Astyanax mexicanus: one gene and its partners. Each later gene encodes a partner of the first gene's protein in a complex. Links are inferred from orthologs where the notes say so. Each region holds a gene or a part of one and is shown in the gene's direction. Other genes may lie near its edges.

Region 1 (3,754 bases):
ATAAATAAATAAAAGTAAATAATGTTGAAAGCCATATCTAACATCCACTATGCTGGTCAAAAGCTGGTTCAACTTTTTTTTTCTTCTAATTCTAAACTCTTAAGGACTACCACTGTCCCTAGTAATGCTCCCATCGCTCTGTGGACATACAGCAACCCAGCTCTGATAGATACATCAGCTAACAGACACCTGTGCTGCTGACCGACATCATCATGGTAGTGATAAAGGGGGGAGAGCATAGCCAGTTGTGCTCTCTTTGACTCCGGCTGCTGATGGCAAGCAGGATGACTGCAGATTTGCAAATTGAGCATCTTAAAGACCAGCTGATAAATCTCAAATTTATCAGAACCTGATTGAGCTGGATTTTTCAACAGGGATGTGTATTTTACTGGGCCACAAAATACTGTGATTTCTCTTTTTATTTTTATAGTTTATTAATTTAATTTTATTTATATTTTTTTGGTTGTTTGTTTCTTTCAAAAAGGCTATATAATGTTTGGGAAAGATTAAAAAATGTTACGGAATTGCCCATTTGAATCCCAGAGTATTTTTGCTATCAGCAGCCAGAGTCAGAAAGAGCACATGCATGTTTGCACAGTTGTTTAACCTCTTAACAGGCCAGGATTTTTTTTTATCAATTGTCTTCCTTACATTACGCCACTAAATCCTGAGTGTTTCTATTTAAACATTACATAAAAAGCTTTCATGTTTCATAAGGAACATTAGAGTGAAAACAGGCAGATTCTCCAAGTGTCCTGTGCAATTTTTCAGAATGTAAATAAGTTATTTTTCTACAAAAAAATGTTTTTTTTTTATCAACTTACGAGGCAAGGCCTGTTAAGGGGTTTAAAGGGCATATTTAAAAAATAATAAATAAAAAAACCTTATTGCACAACACTGACATCAGTCGGTTCAGAGTGGTAACTGCAGTGAATCAGAGGGAGCCATGTTGACCCAGGAAGCAGTGTGAGAGCTGGGCGGCCCCACGTGTGCAGCTCTCCGGCTCTGAAGGTTAAACGCGCTGTCGGTTCTGTGAGAAGCGGAGAGTCCACGGTGGAGGAGAAGCCGGAGACCCCAGCTACAGAGATGGACCCCATGAAGGCACAGCAGCTGGCGGCGGAGCTGGAGGTGGAGATGATGGCAGACATGTATAACCGGTAATATGAACAGCCTGTACTTTACTAGCTTAGCTTGCTTTGTTACCCTGCCTAGCATGGGGTTTAGCCACTGAATCATTTGATTGAGTCCGGGGGTTCGGCTCTTCTCTGTATTCCTCTCTTTATTAACCATAATCTTGATTTTTCTAACTTTGTTTCCTTTGCATACATAACATTTTTTTTTAATATTCACATTTTTAAACGGTGCAGCACATTGATATACTTTTGTTTTACTGTTTAAATGCATTGCTAGCTGTTAAAGCAAGCTGACTAGTATTTAGACTGTAGAATATTTTAGTTTCTACATAACTTGTTCTTCTGGTAAACACTGATGATAAACATTTCTATTATAGACCACCAGCCATTTGGCATGGTAGCTTAGTGTAATCTTGTTAGTTTGAATGGGGGATTCTAATAATAATTCTAACCCAATACCTTCTGAAGATTCCTTGCTGCTCCTCCTCTTTTATCACTAAGGAACTGCAGCCACTCTGCAGCTAATAGCAGAATGATTGTAGAGTTTTATAAATATATCTTGTAATTGATTTTCCCATGGTAAAATACAGTAAATGAGCAGCCCAAACGTTTCCAATAGTGTCAAGGTCCGTGACCTCCTTCTCCTTCAGTGTGTCCTCCTCAATGATGCAACAATGATTCTTCACGAGTCAGGTCACCCCTAAAAGAAAAGCATTCTTTACCTCAAGGGTAATTAGCCCCCCACTTACTTACAGGTACTAAAGGGTGACATCCAGCATAACTCAGTGGTTTCCTTGCTCAGACACTCCAGATTTAAATTGTTAGTCAATTAGGTACAATGATGGTAAATTTGAGCAGGACAGCCACGAGTTTTCTACATACCCACTCTACACGTTTTGAGTATACGCTTTGGCATTAAGAGTTTAAATCACCATCTAAATACATCACAGAACTGCAAGTGAATTAAGTATATATATTTTAAAAGTATACTTAACTTGGAAAAAACATACTAAAATTAAAGTATGTACTTAAATGCATATTAAATGTGCTACTTTGGCAATAGTACTTGTAGTAACTTGAGTATATTTCAGTTGTAATTAAAGGTAAGCTATATTTAAACACAACATAAAAGCATTACATTTTGTATTTGAGTGTTTTTTTCGTACAACTTCTGCAAACCTAAGTAGATTTAGGTATTTGTTTTTAATACACTTGAAGTATATTATAAATGTACTACTTTGCTTATTGATGCCCATATTGTGTACACCTTAATAGTACTGGGGGGAAAAACACACTAAAATGCACTTTGAGCAGTATTTAATGCCACTATATATTAATTATGGAAATACAGAGAATGTTTATTTAATGTGTATTTTCATAAAGTATATTAAATTGAAAATGCACTTTTAGTATTCTTTACCTAATTTAAACATACTTTTAATACTCTTAAGTATACTTCATTTTCACAAGGGTAGTCCTAACATTTTAAAGGTGGATGTTTACAAAACAAACAGGAGGACAGATCCAGAATCCAGAGTTAATTTCGCTATGTGTTCAAGAAGCTCTGGGCCTGCTACAGAAGGTCTGAATGGAAATGGTTTGCTGATACCAGCAGAGTATATATCGGCAGATTGGGAACTGTTCAAAGCCTTTCTCTGTCAGATTTAAACAGAACTTAAATTCAGAGTTAAGTCTGTTCAGTAGGATATTAGCTGAGGAACATTCCTATTTGACAGTCTTGTAGATTGTAGATTATTGTAGATGTCCTTTCCCTTTGAATGCATCATGTATTCTCATGGCTGGTATCTGATCACAAATAGTTGCCGTGACACCACTGTTTAAACGGTGATAGCGGCATGTATTGATCTTTCTGTGGTACAAAAAAAAATTGAATCCCTCGGGCTGTTATGGATCACATGGCTTCAGGAATGAATGTAAGGATTTTAATATTTGGTCCTTGTTGCTTATTTACATAAACGAGATAGATGACCCTTAGAAGAGTATATTTTAAAGTCAGATGGGCAAAATGGCAAAACTATTGTTAGAATTCGTAAATGTTTTTCACATACTGCAAAAATAACTAACAGTACTGCCAGATTAAAACTTAAATACACTAATTGCAAATCCAAATTTTCAGTTTGTGTGGGCTTTAACAGAACTAATTCTACTTTTCTTTTTCTTTTCTTTTTTAATTAAACCCTGTATACAGGGTTCGTACGGTCATAACAAACTTGGAAAAGTCATGGAATTTGAACATAGAAATTTCCAGGCCTGGATAAGTTTTGGAAAAATTAAAATACCTAGAAAAATTTTAAAAAGTCAATTGTGAGCTAATCAGTAAATCATAAGGCATTGACATACTAAATATGCAGAAATGTTATTCAGCTAGTAAAATGTCATGTTTCAAAGTTTGTTTTTTTTAAGGAAAAATATAGGCCTACTATAATCAGTTTTGACATGGATTTTTTATTTATTTAAATTTTTCCATGTCTGTACTGATGTTTTAAAGAGTGGATGGTCATGAAAATTTACTTTTGAAGGCATTTGTTTGGAGTTCTGATATTAGTAATCATGCTTATATGAGCATATTGTGTATGTCAGTGGAAAATTCTGGTATTTAT
Region 2 (3,754 bases), on another chromosome or scaffold:
AAAATATAATAAATCTAATTATTGTACTTTTTTTTTTTACTAAAATAATCTTAAGTCGAATTATTAATAAAGCATGAAAACCACGGAAACGGCACATTGTGTATCTGTGGCAGATTACGACGGGTTTTAAGTTTTTAAAATGTTTTGTTCTGTGTTCAGAATCAGAAATCTGTAAGTTAACTGTTTTTGTAGCAGAGAGCTTATACAGAGGAGAATACCCACTTATTAATCTCTTCTGGATTTGACAGTCCACCAGAGGACGCTCGCGAGTAAATCGTATACATATACGCATATATATTAACACATAACTATATAAAATGTTTCAAGCTTTTAAACTTAATTTATAAGCCTTTTAAATGTGCTTTGACTAAATGTGCTTTGTAAATCCAGTGTTAGCACACCAATCAGTTAGCACACAGTAACAGTAATGCTAGCAAAAAGGAGATACAATCCTTTACACCTATACTTTAAAATCCATATCCCCTGATCGCAAAATTAAAACCTAATTTTTAAAAAAGGAAGAAAAAAACTGACAGAGAAAAATCAGAGTGGAACGTAAAAACCGTTGATATGGTCCCCCTATCGGACCACCAACTCCAAACCACGCCAGAGCTGGTTTAGAGCAAGCCTATCTACTTCCGCTCTCCTCCGTTATCAGAAAATAAGGGATAACCGCTAGAGGGAGCCTGCGAGTGAGCCATAAATAAAGGGAGGGGGGTTGAATGGTTAAAAACTCGGTAAAAACGATCATTAACTACGTGTCCAGGATATTGCTTAAATTTCGTAATTTCGTAATTTGAACAACAGATTTGGTAGCATCACTGCTACAGAAGTGCTGAAGTAACAGCCAGCACATGTTTTAAATGTTTCCAAGTGGACTTTAAAAGTTTGTATTTGGCATTAACATTTGATATGTTGAGGAACTAATCACATTTTTCGGTTTAAAAATTTAGCAAACATTTACAATCTGAACCTATTCATTTAGGACTCGGGAGCGCCCTCTGGTGGTCTGACATAAAGAGGTTTTAAAGTGGTCTACAGGTTCTTTGACCGAGCCTGCGCCATTTCGGCTCAGTGGTTTCGCCAGTGGGCGTGTTGTGTGGGGGGGCCGTGTGGAAACAGAGCCGGCGGTATCGGTTCCGGTTGAGTTGAGAGCACTGAGCCGCTGATCAGCGTGTGTTCGGACTGTCATGGCTGCCTCGTGTGTTTTCAGGAGGCTCTGCTCCACCGCAGCGGAGGCTCAGGGCAAGGGCAGCCGGTGGGAGAGGCTGAAGAGCGGCCGCGTGGGTGAGCGCTTTACCTACCGAGACATACAGATTAAATATACTCTTTATTATTAACCCGATCAGCAGCTGCTGATCTACTGCAGAACTGGAGAGGAGAAGCAGTCTACTGCCCGACAGTAGAATCAGTTAATTAATATATATAATAATAACATAATATAATTCAGTAGAAACTCTGATCCTTAATTTAATTTTATATTAATTATGCCCAAATGGTGAGAATAAACACATGTTTAACACTAACTGTAGGTCAAAACTGAAATATATGTTCTCCTCTTAACACAAACGCTCTTGCATCTCCATTACCAAGGTCTTTTAGGTTATTAGACACATGAAAGACACACTTCTTTCATTCTTTTTTTTACATTGTAAATTTAATATCGAAGATATATGGATAGATTAATAGATATTAACAAATTATTTTACTTGTAAATTTTAAAAGAAGTGGCACCTTACAGCTTATAGCACATTCAAAACCAGGAGAGAGGATCAGTAAGATGTATCAAAAATGCCATCTAATAAAATCAGGCAAAAAGATCCACTTAGTGTCACATCCTGCTCTTACTGAAGAACAATTGCAGAATATGGTATTCTATATCGGGTTTAATTCACTTTACTATCATTCCTGTTTAGTTTAATTCCACTGGGTCGAAAAAAGTCCAAACAATAGAAGACATTGTGTTAGTAGAAAAATACAACAGTAATGTAATGGAATGTAAAAATGAGATGTATGATTTTCAGCTATGGCTGACAGAAAGAAAATAACACATTTAATAATTAAGTTCACACTGAATTCTCAAACCCTCCACATCCACAGAGGGAGCTATTCACACTGCAGACTGTGCTTACATGACCTAACTAGACTAGAGGCAGAGTAGAGCTCCACTAGTGGTAGAGCACACACCAAACTACTACAAAATAAAATAAAAGTAACATTTTTAAAAACATTTAAAGAGCTAATTTATGTTCTTAATTTATTGTGTTCCACATTCATTTTGGGATACGGTGTCATCGTATGTTGCATTTATGTTCATATTGTGCACTGCTGCAGAAACTGCAGATATCTAGTAGAGTTTAGTAAAGGTTTTGCCCTCTACTCTACACTCTACTTTGGTAGGAGTATTAAAAGTAGACATGTTAATTAACCATTAAAAATCAATATTTTTGGTTTTCATATGTTTTGCTATTATAAAATCCTATTCCAGTAAAACCAGTTAAAATGTCCTTTTTGCAGGTGTGTGGTGCCGTAGTCTTTTGGGTGACTACAAGGAGGCCTGCCGGGAGGTGGTTGTTGGAGCACGGGAGCGTCCCTTTAAAGCCTCAGCTTACGCGGTCCTGCTGGGGGGGGCGTATTTCTGTTATCGAACAAATCCAGATGACACGTCCTTCCAGACTGATCTGCTAGAAACCTCCAATAAACTGGCCCTTCTGTCACCATGGATACGAAGCGGGATGTCAGATGGTCACGTGCAGAACCTGGTGAGGCTGCGTAATGAAGGTCGACTGCGCTACCTTAGTCTGGGCGTGGCCTCGGTGACCTACGTGGTGAGCTACGACCCTGAGAGCAGCCTGTACGAGGCTCAGTGCTCGGCTCTGTCTGTGCCCTGGGCAGAGCTGCCCGGGCGCATGCTGGACGTGGGCTTCGCTGGACGCTGGTGGGTACTGCACCAGAAGATGAAGGACTATGACATTAACGAGGAAGAGTTTAAGCATCTCTCTCCGGCTTTGGTGGCCACAGCTCCCCCTTCAGTGCAGGAGACTGAGAGGAATGAGAGACTGCACAGAGATTCGTTGAAGGCGCTGGTGATGGAGGTAGAGGAGGAAACGGCAGATGGTGCAGTGAGTGTACAGAAAGAGGGGGAGATCGTGGCGAAAGGATGAGAGAAAACTGTGTAAGAACAGATGCACCTAAGCGTTGATGTGCTTCACTAAAGGACGTGTGCTGGCATGGACATATGGACTGGAGGCATGTCACATATGATCAGATAAATCTGTGAGCAGCAGCCCGGAAGGGAAAGCGCATTTCTCTGGACATGGACTTCAGTTTATATAGTGTTGTTGGAATTCTGGGACAAAAAATGTCATGTATTGCTATACTGTATGTTAATACTTTAATCTTAAAACTAAAGGTGCTACAAAATTGTTATTCAAGGCTCAGCAAAATATTTTTTTTTTTTTTGACAAAACCTTGGTGAGGTGGTGTGTTGGTAGAGACGTGGGCCTGTTCCTTGCTACTAATTTGTGCATCTCCAGTGAGATTAACCATTTTTTGAAAATATATGAATGTAAAATATAAAGTAAAATGATTTGGTAAAGAACTTTAACCCTGATTTAACACTGGCAGGCCACAGAGCAGGCCACAACGTCATTTCTTATAGGAAGGTTTATGATTTTTTTTGTGTGTGTTTAAGTGTTTTTACCTGAGGGTCCCCAGATTCTGCTCTGTGAACATTTTGTTTCTCCAATATTTC
Region 3 (3,754 bases), on another chromosome or scaffold:
TCATGCTAAAACTGACACAAACAAACGCATTTACAGCTACACTTCTTACAGCTAGCGTAAGCGGCCTGGCCTGTGAACACTGTACTAACTACACCTGAAACTGAACTAATAATGCCTTACTGCTCTGCATCCACAACAACTGTTGCTGACAACAAAGTTGACAACAGATATGAATTCAGAAACCGCAGCGCGCGCCACTGAGTTCAATTTCAAAATAAAAGTAACCTCGCCCTGCAAGCTGCACCCCCAGCTGACAGCTAACGTTATTAGAACGGTAACTTTGTAACGTTACAGAAACAATGTTCTAGGAACGTTCTTAAAAAAGGTGTGACACAATAATGGTTTGCATCACAACGGTATTAAAACGTTTCCAGATAGACGACGTTTCCATAACACTAAAAGTAATATTCTAAAACTACAAATTAAAACACTGACATATCCACATCCAGAACATCCAAAAACAAATCACGGACTGAACCTCCCAAGAATGTTAAGTGTAACGTTCAGAAATAGTTCTTCAAACCGAAAAGTGTGTATGTTATTATTATATTATGTTATAATCTTTATAAATTGTTAATTTAAAAAGAATGATTCCTATTTTAAGAAAGCCCAGACATACAGATCATTTGTAGTTAACAATATTACATACATGAGCGCATTTTTTTAAAACTTAGCATTTAGAAATGATTTAGCCTTATACTATAAATCTTTAAAAGTTATGGGTGGTAAAAATGCCCTTAAATTTACCCCTTGCTTGTCCCTTTATTTTGATTTTATTTAATTTTATTTTTTTATATTCGTGTTTATTATTATTATTATTATTATTATTATTATTATTATTATTATTATTATTATTATTATTATTATTATTATTATTATTATTATATGTGTGTGTGTATTTATATGTGATTATATCCCTAAGTAAACAATATTGAATATTGTATTCTTTAAAGTTTCAGGTTAATACAAGAAACAACGATAGAAGACAGCATTAAAAATATACAAACTGAAGAAAAGGAAAAAAGAAAGAAAATCAAAATAAATAAAATTATATATTAACCAGAGGCAAGTGAGAGTTCATCACAAATTCTTACAGTTCTTTTACATTTTAGTGCAAAAAATAAAACGTTATAATTCGCCTCCTTTTGTACGTCACTAACGTACAGCGACCTATAGATGATCTATAGTGTGATTTCAAAAGCCATTTTCGTGTAAATATATGACTTAGAGAATATATTATTATTTCAGAACTCAGTGAGACAGTTTATACACTAATCATTTTTGTTACATGTTTCTTTCAATTATTTTAAATATATCAAAATATTTAAAAGCAATTTTACATTTTAATATTTATCAATCATCGTGAAGAAATGAATGAATTTGCCTTGTTGCAGCGAAAGTGCCGCAGTGAAGCGCCGGTTGTTCTTTCTCTTGTCCACAGCGTCACATGTCCTTCAGAGAGGGTCCGCAGGCTCGAGCTTCCAGGTGCAGACTGAGGTAATGTAGCGACGGGTTTTCGCTCTGTACCGTTTACACTATTAAATTACAAACATTATGATACAGAGCAGCGTAATTTATTTGTATAGTGTCTGTGGGCTTCCGCTGCTGCTGCTGCTGCTGCTAACCAGCTAAAGAAATAAGGTATAGAGCAGAAGGCTAACGCTCACTGCATGGTGGCTAGAATAAGCAGCAGGGCCAGTATGGGGAATTAATTGTTATAGACTTTATACTATGTAGTATTATTAGTTTATTTTTATTAGGCCGTTTAAAATACTTCTTGTTTTTATTGGCGAGATAAAAATGCTGCTTATAAAGTGTAACTTGTGCTATGAATTCATATTAATAAATATAGTTTAAATGAAGAGTGCTTGTGTTGTTAGATGTCATTGTGGAATTTCGGTTAAATCATTTTCTGTTAATTCTGTTTATTCTCCAGAGTCCACTCTTTAAACTATGGCTGCCCAAGTTACAGAATCAGACCAGATCAAACAGGTACTGTACACCCTACCTTTTACAGACATAAGCGTCTCTTTATCCACTTAAACATCACTGAATTCTCCTTTATGTTCTGCTTGGGTTTGATTTTCAGTTCAAGGAATTTCTGGGCACCTACAACAAGCTGACAGAGAACTGCTTCATGGATTGTGTTAAAGATTTCACTACTAGAGAAGTGAAGGCAGAAGAGGTAAGACACTAGGCAAGATTAATACTACACATGTTAAGTGTTTGCTTTAAGAAACGGGAGGGTTTTCACTTCAGGCCCATTTAAACTTCTGAAATAAATTATTGAGGGATTATGCTGTCAGAAAAGCAGATCTTCAGGAGCAGGGTTGGTGACAATATAAAAATCCATATCCAAACCGAAACTTTCCATACCACTTTAGACCTTATTACAATATGCAGTTGTTAAATACTCTGCATAAAGTTCTGTAAATAAATGTGTTAATCCTTTTATATAGGTGATCAGTTTTTGTTGTGCAGTATACTGGCAGAATCCATTCAAACCATAAGTGCTGTTTCGTGATCCACATTAATTATAGTCAGAATACCCACTATAATAACAGTATGTTACATTACACTGTGTACCAGTATTCATACTCAAAGATATGAAAATCCTTTAATTCCACAGCAGGGAAATTGCTACGTTACAGCAGAGGAGAAGTGTCAAACAATATATGAAATCTATACACAAAAAAAACAGAAGAGAATATAAAAATACAAAAAAATCAACAGTAAAAAACAGGAAAAGCACTAAAATGTGAAAAAAAACTGGCTAAATGACTGGGTGTCAGCATCTCAAAAAATGTTACTGTGCCTATCAAAAGTGCTACTAAGGAACCCTGGTAACAAGGTCATGAGTCCCAGAGGCTCACTGATGTGTGTGGTGAGCAAACTTAAACTGTCTGGTTTAATCCCACAGAAGAACTGCTGAACCCTATATTACTTAAAGTTAATGCTGCCAGATCTTTAGTCCAAGCCCGACTGGTCAGTTTGACCGGTCAAAGCTGTTTTGGCAGCAAGAGGGAGATTTTCATCTGACCCAGTCAGCACATTGCTGGATCTGGTTTATGAAACAGGTTTTAGGTTAAAATCTTTAATGATCTAAACTAAATCAGTTTGGAGATGCCTGTCTGAATAAATCTTAAGTATGTTTGAATAAAAAATTGGAAATCACTCTTGTATCTTGTTCTTTTCAGACCTCGTGCTCTGAGAGCTGTCTACAGAAGTATCTAAAAATGACCCAGCGGATCTCCATGCGCTTCCAGGAGTATCACATCCAACAGAACGAGGCTCTGGCAGCCAAAGCTGGTTTACTAGGCCAGCCACGGTAGTCTATTGCTGTGTTTTCTTACGGACTCTGATATCCTCAGGCTGTAATTCTCACCATGCCTATTAGGAGGCTGAATCTCCATATTGGAACAACATGGCTACGCACACTGTCAAGGTTCTCTGTTTGGTTCAGCTCCTCAGCACTGGTAGGACCTTTGTTTCCCAAGATTCTCCCGGAGGAAGAGGCTCGATAGACTTGGTCATGGCTTGGGCAAAATGTGAAGATAGTGTTTTTTTGTTTGTTTGTTTTTAAATGTAAATCTTTGCATCTAACAAGAATAAAAAAGCAGCAAGATAACTTCTTTATATTCTGTGCTATTCATGTCTAAAAAAAAGTGACTAAGATAAATGCTAGGTGCAGTGCAGTTTGAGCTTACTTGCTGTGTTAGCGTATGGTTAAAAAATTCACAAACAGCAAAAGACA

The links.
Region 2: the proteins of timm10 (region 1) and timm29 are in contact, whole or in part, in a cryo-EM structure (PDB 7CGP), measured with the Homo sapiens proteins. The link is inferred for Astyanax mexicanus from reciprocal best matches to the Homo sapiens genes TIMM10 and TIMM29. Residues at the interface, in NP_036588.1 of Homo sapiens: His30, Arg31, Lys32, Cys33, Pro35, Pro36, Leu43, Ser44, Lys45, Gly46, Glu47, Ser48, Val49, Arg53; in NP_612367.1 of Homo sapiens: Asp181, Asp183, Ile184, Asp186, Phe189, Leu192, Leu196, Arg197, Val199, Gln203, Leu204, Ser206, Asn209, Glu210, Leu212, Phe213, Asp214.
Region 3: the proteins of timm10 (region 1) and timm9 are in contact, whole or in part, in a crystal structure (PDB 2BSK), measured with the Homo sapiens proteins. The link is inferred for Astyanax mexicanus from reciprocal best matches to the Homo sapiens genes TIMM10 and TIMM9. Residues at the interface, in NP_036588.1 of Homo sapiens: Glu16, Met17, Asp20, Met21, Arg24, Ala28, Cys29, Lys32, Cys50, Arg53, Cys54, Ser56, Lys57, Tyr58, Asp60, Ile61, His62, Arg64, Met65, Gly66, Lys68, Leu69, Leu72; in NP_001291414.1 of Homo sapiens: Lys15, Leu18, Gly19, Tyr21, Asn22, Lys23, Thr25, Glu26, Cys28, Phe29, Leu30, Val33, Asp35, Phe36, Thr37, Thr38, Arg39, Glu40, Val41, Glu45, Thr46, Glu50, Leu53, Leu57.

Annotation. Positions count from the first base shown.
Region 1 is NC_064414.1:44,296,170-44,299,923, forward strand, and holds the start of timm10 (mitochondrial import inner membrane translocase subunit Tim10), read left to right. Parts: upstream 1-933; 5' UTR 934-1,086; coding exon 1,087-1,157; intron 1,158-3,754.
Region 2 is NC_064426.1:9,774,349-9,778,102, forward strand, and holds the start of timm29 (mitochondrial import inner membrane translocase subunit Tim29), read left to right. Parts: upstream 1-1,098; 5' UTR 1,099-1,190; coding exon 1,191-1,287; intron 1,288-2,517; coding exon 2,518-3,164; 3' UTR 3,165-3,754. UniProt on the Homo sapiens protein: Component of the TIM22 complex, a complex that mediates the import and insertion of multi-pass transmembrane proteins into the mitochondrial inner membrane.
Region 3 is NC_064421.1:18,426,325-18,430,078, reverse strand, and holds timm9 (mitochondrial import inner membrane translocase subunit Tim9), read left to right. Parts: upstream 1-1,403; 5' UTR 1,404-1,497; intron 1,498-1,586; exon of another isoform or gene 1,587-1,641; intron 1,642-1,936; 5' UTR 1,937-1,953; coding exon 1,954-1,992; intron 1,993-2,089; coding exon 2,090-2,185; intron 2,186-3,197; coding exon 3,198-3,332; 3' UTR 3,333-3,636; downstream 3,637-3,754. UniProt on the Homo sapiens protein: Mitochondrial intermembrane chaperone that participates in the import and insertion of multi-pass transmembrane proteins into the mitochondrial inner membrane.